Bombyx mori: one gene and its partner. The protein of the gene in region 1 interacts with the protein of each later gene in a pairwise test. Links are inferred from orthologs where the notes say so. Each region holds a gene or a part of one and is shown on either strand. Other genes may lie near its edges. The genes, in order: serine/threonine-protein kinase NLK; dihydrolipoyllysine-residue acetyltransferase component of pyruvate dehydrogenase complex, mitochondrial.

Region 1 (3,832 bases):
TACTATCTATTTTTCATACCCCTAAGTGATTAGGGTTGTCCACCCCTAACATATTTTTTTTATTTGGTCTTTTTTTTTTGTTATAATGAGGTATTATGTGGTTGAATGAGGTTTTGTTATTTTTATTATATATTCCCTCATCGTTTACAGCGCTACATACCTCTTTCACTCATTTACCACATCCTTACACACTTACAATAAGTTAGTTTTTTTTCTACACTAGAAATTCCCTATAAATCTTATATATGGCAAAACAATGTTTGCCGGGTCAGCTAGTAATATTATATAATTATTAACATTAGAAGTCCCGCAGTAGTCGAAATTCGACTATAATTAATTGGAATTGTATAATATGTTTGTACACTATTATGATTGTATCTTATACTTCTATAATCACAAATTTCGCCAAGGCTATAAATAATATTAATAAAGACAAACAATATTTAATGAATTCTCAATTTGACAACAGACGTCAAGAACAAAAGCTTGACAATTAATAGTATGCATGCGTGTGTGCGTCAAATACTTGGTATGTAGTGTGTGTAATGTTTTCTTTATTGATTTAATGTATCTTTTATGCTTTATTTAAAAAAAATATTAGCATTGTGAACTTCTTCTCTATATTCCCTATGAGTGTGGAAAATTTCATACTTCTCCGTCCGCGCAATTTTCTTAAAAAGGGATAGAAAGTTTTTGCTTCACGTATTAATATATAGGTAATAATTCGCTTTATATCGAGCGAAGATATAAAATTGTTGTCCTGATCAGTATCAACAGGATGAAAGAAAGAAAGATTAAATTAATTGTTATTTAAATGTGTTTTCTTAGTTTTTAAATTAGAAGTATTTTATATCCGTCATCCAAAAAGTTCAATTGAGTAAAATCTAACTTTTTAATAATTCGTGATTGTTTCGAAGGTCTTTTGTTTGGAATTTCACGACATTCTGGTCGGATTAGTTGGAAACGTTCATTGAGTGACACGGGCCTTGACGATGTCTATCTTTAGTTATTTTGAGACTTAATGATGTTACGGTTGCTTCCTTATCAACAATGCAATACTTCAAGGAGGACAGAGACGCATACGTTAATAAAAAGGCAGGTATTCAGCGCGGGTAGGTACTACCACCCTGCCTATTTCTGCCGTGAAGCAGCAATGCATTTCGGTTTGAAGGGTGGGGTAGCCGTTGTAACTATACTGAGACCTTAGAACTTATATCTCAAGGTGGATGGCGCATTTACGTTGTAGATGTCAATGGGCTTCAGCAACCATTTAACGCCAGGTGGGCTCTGAGGTTGTCCACCCACTTAAGCAATAAATAAATAATAGTTTAAAAAACTAAAAAAATACGCTTTTATAGAAAATCCCACTAAAAATAGAAAATAAATCTTAATAAATATGAATTAAAGATAGTGTAAGAAAAAATGATTTTACTGTAAGAAAAGCGTGGAGTGCATGGTATAGTACAGTAGCTATAAATATTTTATGAATAGATATGAGTAGAAGGGTTATTTTGTTAATATCCTGTTAATCCGACGTTTTGGAGGGGGTCAAAATTATGTTCACGTCTGAAGCTAATGAAAGCGTATTAAAAAAAGTTATCTATGGGGATATTTGAAAAAAAAAACCTCTGATTATGTTCCAGAGCCCCTGAGATTCTGATGGGAGCGAACCATTACACAGCAGCTGTTGACGTCTGGTCGGTCGGCTGTATATTCGGCGAGCTACTTGGCAGGCGTATCTTATTCCAGGCACAGAGTCCCGTTCAACAGGTGAGTGTAGCATATGTCAAAAGTTAATTACATACAAACTCAATAGTCAAGTGAGAGAAGAATCGGCGTTTTTCATTTTATTTATTTATTTATGTACACATAAAAAGGAAGACATAGTACAGAGTAATAGGAAAATTATGTACAAAGGCACTGCTTATTTCTTTAAGAAATCTTTTCCAGCAGACCTGCGAGAGGATTATGAGAATAATAATTAAAAGTGATGAGTGTGTGTAGAACATCTAAAATAACAAATACAACATTAGAATTATAGTAATGCACACACACATAGCAAATATTGTTAAACTTGAATACAAAATATTATAAGTAACACAGTATATACGTAGAGTATAGTACAATGTTCATTCGTTTGATGAGAGATAGAATTGTTTGACCTTAGTTTTATTAGTATTCGCTCAGAAATCCAAATCTATCATAATCACTTATAATTTTTTTTGTATATTGTTATTATACAAAATAGACAAAATACAAATACAAATTTTATTTAAAAAAAAAAGTGGGTAGTACTAAAATTCCTAACCAAAGAGAGTGGTAAACGACAATCACTTGTCAAACCGGAGGAAATGGTACATACATATTTCATTTGTTTTTACTTATATATGTATATATAAGTGTTAGACAGAGAGAGACAGAGGACTATTGTTAGAATTGACGTCACACTTTATGTTTGTTACAAATTCCAACACAGGAAGTGTTCCTTAAAGACGATAAAGCATCCCCTCTGAAAATTTTTAATCGATTTTCCTTGACCTTGATTATACTATACTGTAATATGTATTTAGGGGACAAAGGTTTTTTTTTATTGCTTAGATGGGTGGACGAACTCACAGCCCACCTGGTATTAAGTGGTTACTGGAGCCCATAGACATCTACAACGTAAATGCGCACATCCATCTTGAGATATAAGTTCTAAGGTCTCAAGTATAGTTACAACGGCTGCCCTACCCTTCGAACCGAAACGCATTACTGCTTCACGGCAGAAATAGGGGCAGGGTGGTAGTACCTACCCGCGCGAACTCACAAGATATCCTACCACCAGTGCATCACAAGAGGTCCTACCACCAGTGCATCACCGATCACCGGGTTGGTTCTCGCATCCAAAAAATATGAACGAAAATTCTAGTTGGAGTTGATAACTGATCTGCTGGGCACGCCGTCGCTTGAGGATATGCGTCACGCGTGTGCAGGAGCCCGCGCACACATGCTTCGCCGCGCGCCCCGCCCCCCTGCCCTCGCGGCCCTCTACACGCTCTCCGTTCAAGCCACACACGAGGCCGTGCATCTACTCGCGCAGGTCTGTGACGTCAGCTTCACAATGATAATAATATTATGTTCAACAAAATAGGTAGTGCAATCGGTCGAGGTCGAGTCGAGGGTCGTAGGTTCGATTCCCGCATCGGCCAAACATTTTTGTGATGAACAGGTTTGTTTTGGTCTATGTCTGGGTATTTACTATCAATATATGTATATATTTAGACGTATGTAAGGACTTTTTGGCGGGAACGCGAGGAGTGAAGCTGTGTGATTTGTTTTATTTTGTCTATTTAGTGTTTCTTCAGGTTTAAATGTGTAATAACGGTGGTTTATTAACTGTTTCGTATCTGTGACAGTGCAACAATGTGGGAAAATCAAACAAAGCCGCTGAACGTAACTTCTCGGGATCCTCCAAAAAGTCCACCGAAAAAGTCTCAGTAAATGTCCATTTTACTGAGATTATATTTCATACCATATCATATCATCTCATTTCATTTCACTTTATTTCATATTATCATTTTTCATAAAATTATAAATATAAATTAAGATAAGACTTGACCTAAATGTCTTAGTTACCAGGTCATAAAATCCCTTAAAAAAGACTTATATAAGTATGCCTGTCCCAAGGGCGGATCCAGCTTTGGCGCCAGGAGGGGGTCACATAGTCGTGGGCAAGCTAAGAACTTATAATTTAATTTTGATAACAATAGATAATAAATAAATCATGATGTTCTTCAATTAGTCCAAGTTAGTTCAAGTCCTGGAACTAGCTCAGGGGGGGGTCATGACC
Region 2 (4,372 bases), on another chromosome or scaffold:
TTTCATAAGACAGTAAGTTTGAGATATTAATAATTGATTAAAACTGTTTTGTGTAGTACGCTTTCAAAGGTATTACAGCTCTCATGGTGTTGCCAGTCATAAAAACTAAAAGCATTGTAGCGCACAATCTCGAAGTTTTGGAAGTGTCTCACGTATATTGCTGAGGCACGACCCTGTCTTCAATAAAGGCGTCATTCTATTACAAATAATTTATAAATTTTAGAAATAAAGGATAATAATAATAATAATAAAATAATAATAAATAATAATACAAGAATAAAATAAAAATAAGAATAATAATAAAGGATTTAAATAGTACAAGATATTATGTTTCTTAGTTATTGTTTACCTTTTAAATCTTTATTATCAAAACTATGCACACATTTCACTATGTGTCTTTTCATACGAAGCGAATTATTAAAGGATTTAAATGACGTACCTACCTAAGCTTTAACGTTAAATGATGTATCATCTAATCATGATATTGAAACCGACTTTTCTTTGAAATAATTTTTTTTTGTCTATCATCAGATTCTCCAACGTAGACGTGAGTGTGGCCGTGGCGACTCCGACCGGCCTCATCACGCCGATCCTGCACAACGCTGACTCCCGGGGCATCATCGACCTCTCGAAGAACATGAAGCAATTGGCGCAGAAAGCCAAGGACGGTAAACTTCAACCTCAAGAGTACCAGGGCGGTACTGTCACGGTATCGAACCTAGGAATGTACGGTATGTATTCTTTATCTACGTTTAGCTGTGTAAACATATGACATCTCGTTTTGGATGGAGTTTTAACAATAATAAAAATAATTGAGAATAACTCACACACGCTCAGCGTGGTATGGTCATGTGATGCGTAGAGAGAAGATGCATGTGACTGACTAGGAGATGTATGGAAATGCTAGTGCAAGGTAGAGGGGGAAGAGGTCGACCGAAGAAGACATGGATGGAGTGTGTGAATGACGATATGAGAGAGAGAGGAGTGAGTATTGAGATGACGGCTGATCGAAGAGAATGGAAGAGAAAAATCAGCTGTGCCGACCCCACCTAGTGAGATAAGGTGGAGAAAAAGAAGAAGAGAAGTCACACACGGTCGTCTGGCCCCAATTTAGGGTTCCTTGTGTTATGGGTACCAGTGATTGATTTAGATACGTTCGTATATATACATATATTATAGATAGTAAACACTCAGACAAAAAGCAAACATTACCTGTTCACCGCACAATGTTTGCCCGATATGGGAATCGAACAACAGTTAAGCAACAGTTAAGGGCGCTAACCATCCGACTCAGTCGATTATTATTATTATATTATTGAAGTGTTATTGATTCGATGAAAACAGGCAGAGGTGACAAAAACAAATGACAATAACGTGTTATATACCCTAACTTTATGTAATATTCCGATATGCAATAGGAATTTTACCACATATATACATTGGCGTACGTGACTGTCGTGAACGCTGAGACAGCATTGCAACACACTAGAAACGGTGCATTGACGTAAATGGCACATTGACGCACATGAGTGCGGGGACGCCGATTCAGCACCTTTACCTCATGGAGCTTCGAAGCCAGCCACGGGGCCCGCACTTCTGAACTCACATCGTCGGAAGACAGACCAGTAGCATTAATTAAGTTTAAGTTTCATTGTAATCTTTTTAATTTTAATAAACTTTAGATTCATTTTCGGTTTTCTTTAAGACCTTAGGCTGCGACCTCCGTAATTAACGAAAGTGTTTGTTGTCGACAGGTATTACGATGTTCAACGCCATCATCAATCCCCCCCAGTCGTTCATTATAGCTTGCGGCGGCGTACAAGAACTGGTCATTCCAGACCAAAGTGAACCAAACGGGTATGTTGTTTGTTAGCTATCAGCATGACCACCAGCCAAATAGACTCAACAGCGTGCCTGTCATCAGGTCAAATCCCAACTATAATTTCCGCGTCTGAATACGTCGTGTTGGAGCCCCCGTACCGCAGCACCGTAAGCTTCCATTAGCGTTCCAATTTGTGTGTACAGCCATTAAAAACTACTAATAATCAGAGGTCGGCTAGAGTCGTTCTCTCCGGACAAAAGGTGTCGGTTTGTGACTATAATGACTACTGTGGTTTTATTTATTTATTGCGTATATGGGTTGACGATCTCACAGCCCACCTAATGTTAAGTGATTAAGGGAGCCCATAGACATCTCTAAAACGTAAATGTCGCCTCCCACCTTGAGATATGAGTTCTAAGGTCTCAGTATAGTTATAGTGTCTTTTATACGTGTTCATTTATTAGGATATTCATGACGAGAAAGCCAAATTTTTTTCCACCGAATTTACGATTCAACTTATATTAACTTAATATCTATCAATCCACACTATAAGAGCGAAAGAGATAGAATACGTTTTAAATTTCACTTCTACCGTTGTGTTTTGCAACGGAAATGACACTCGATAAGCGACACTACCAAAAGTAAAACTGATATCAGCTATAGGATTATATAACTATAGGATTTAGTTTTGCAAGCGAACGATGTTTCACTACCGCTTTATTATTTTATTTATTTATTTATGTAATATGTACACACAGAAAAGAAGACATAGTACAGAGTAATAGGAAAATTATGTACAAAGGCACTGCTTATTTCTTTAAGAAATCTCTTCTAGCAGACCTGCGAGAGGATTATGATAATAATAATTAAAAGCGATGAGTGTGTGTAGAAGAGCTAAAATAACAAATACAACATGAGAATTGCATAATTTTTTTGTTTATTCCAGCTTCCGAACAGCCAAGTTCGTCACGTTCACAGCGTCGGCCGACCACAGGGTGGTGGACGGAGCGATCGGCGCTCAATGGATGAAAGTATTCAAGGAGAACCTCGAAGATCCCGCCAACATCATTTTATAAATAGAGAAACGGTCCTACCTCAATTCAGCTTAACGAAAGGATGTCGCGAAAACGTATACACATAGACGAACATTTCTAATTCCGATATTAAAAAAAAAAAAAAAAAACTGACATTTTAAGGTTAAGTGTTTTGAAACGGTATTAATTTATTTTTAACAACAAGTTGTATTTTTTTATTATAGTCGCTTTTACCGGTATCCGTATTAAAAAAGGGAGAAAAAAAGTAAAATTTATTGTAACCTGTCAAGAGATGGCCTCGTGTGTTTTTGGCTCCTTTGGATGTCCTGTATCACCGTAAGACGGGGACACAGAACATACATTTTTTTTTCATCACAATATTATTAGTACAATTTTCGCATTTTATTTCGATCACAAATAAAAAGTTTAGTTTTGCTCGTTCAAAGGACCAAAGTAGTTAATCGAAATAAGAAAAAGCTTAACTTTAAGCTTTGATAAACAGTTTGATCGTCGCGGTTTTCTTAATATTTAATTTATATATTTATTCTGTGGTTACGCTTTTAATGAGTGAGCTTTTGCTGAAAGCGCGTATTTAATAAAACTATAATTGTGATTTATGAGAAACGACCGAAAAAAAATCTCGTGACGAAATATACATTTTTACGCATTTTATTATAATAATTTAAAAAGAAGTAGGGTTCGGAATGTAGATCTACATATTTATTGTAATTTACTGTAAATATGTAATAATAATTCGTTACAGCTGTGACGTCAGTATGGAAACTAATGTATGCATTGAAACGAAACGAAGCATTATTTTGTTTTGTTAAAAATTTTGTAATGTTACTTTGTAACGTTTTGATGATGCTAGATTATTTATGAACGTTAGTGAAATATATTTTACTTACAGACGAGTTTGTTTTATTTTTTGGATTTCATTAAAATTAATATAAAGTTTTACTTTCACACCAGTTGGTGTTTTTGTCAATTTCTACTGTCATGAAATTCGCCTGATTGGAATTGGACTAATGCTGAAATTAGCTCGAAGTTTAGAGTTAAGTTTAAAAAGGATAAAAACAGTATCAATCTTTTGTGTTAGTTGTGTTCTGATTTCCAGAGTAAAAAATATAAACAAACCAAAAATTTGAAAAACTATAATTATGTACCTACATACATATTAAATATACAAACAAAATTAGTAATACCTATGGAAACATAATATGGCAATGACATTAAAAAATGGCTAGTCAAAAACTTTTTTCACACAGACGACAATTCAATACAATTCTAAAATTTACTCTGTCTGTTAAGCGGAATATTAATATTCCCTAATGAATGTATTTCTTAAACTATTAGATCATTCAGGTCGTGCCCTTGCGTGTAAAAAATTCGTGAAAAAATGAAACACGATCTATTAAGCTTCAAATTGGCAATTCATGTCAAGGTCTGACGTATGTCACGCTTAATCACAAATGAATAACAATAAAAGGTATTTATGTAATAACAATCTAGAAAG

What was found.
Region 2: the proteins of serine/threonine-protein kinase NLK (region 1) and dihydrolipoyllysine-residue acetyltransferase component of pyruvate dehydrogenase complex, mitochondrial interact in a two-hybrid assay, tested with the Caenorhabditis elegans proteins (2 studies listed by BioGRID, with this or other methods). The link is inferred for Bombyx mori from reciprocal best matches to the Caenorhabditis elegans genes lit-1 and dlat-1.

Annotation. Positions count from the first base shown.
Region 1 is NC_085116.1:3,741,105-3,744,936, reverse strand, and holds part of serine/threonine-protein kinase NLK, read left to right. Parts: intron 1-1,643; coding exon 1,644-1,770; intron 1,771-2,911; coding exon 2,912-3,082; intron 3,083-3,832. UniProt on the Caenorhabditis elegans protein: Has a role in the Wnt signaling pathway controlling the asymmetry of cell divisions during embryogenesis. Operates in the AB and EMS cell lineages influencing cell specification.
Region 2 is NC_085109.1:9,381,898-9,386,269, reverse strand, and holds the end of dihydrolipoyllysine-residue acetyltransferase component of pyruvate dehydrogenase complex, mitochondrial, read left to right. Parts: coding exon 1-12; intron 13-531; coding exon 532-731; intron 732-1,754; coding exon 1,755-1,857; intron 1,858-2,768; coding exon 2,769-2,898; 3' UTR 2,899-3,767; downstream 3,768-4,372. UniProt on the Caenorhabditis elegans protein: The pyruvate dehydrogenase complex catalyzes the overall conversion of pyruvate to acetyl-CoA and CO(2).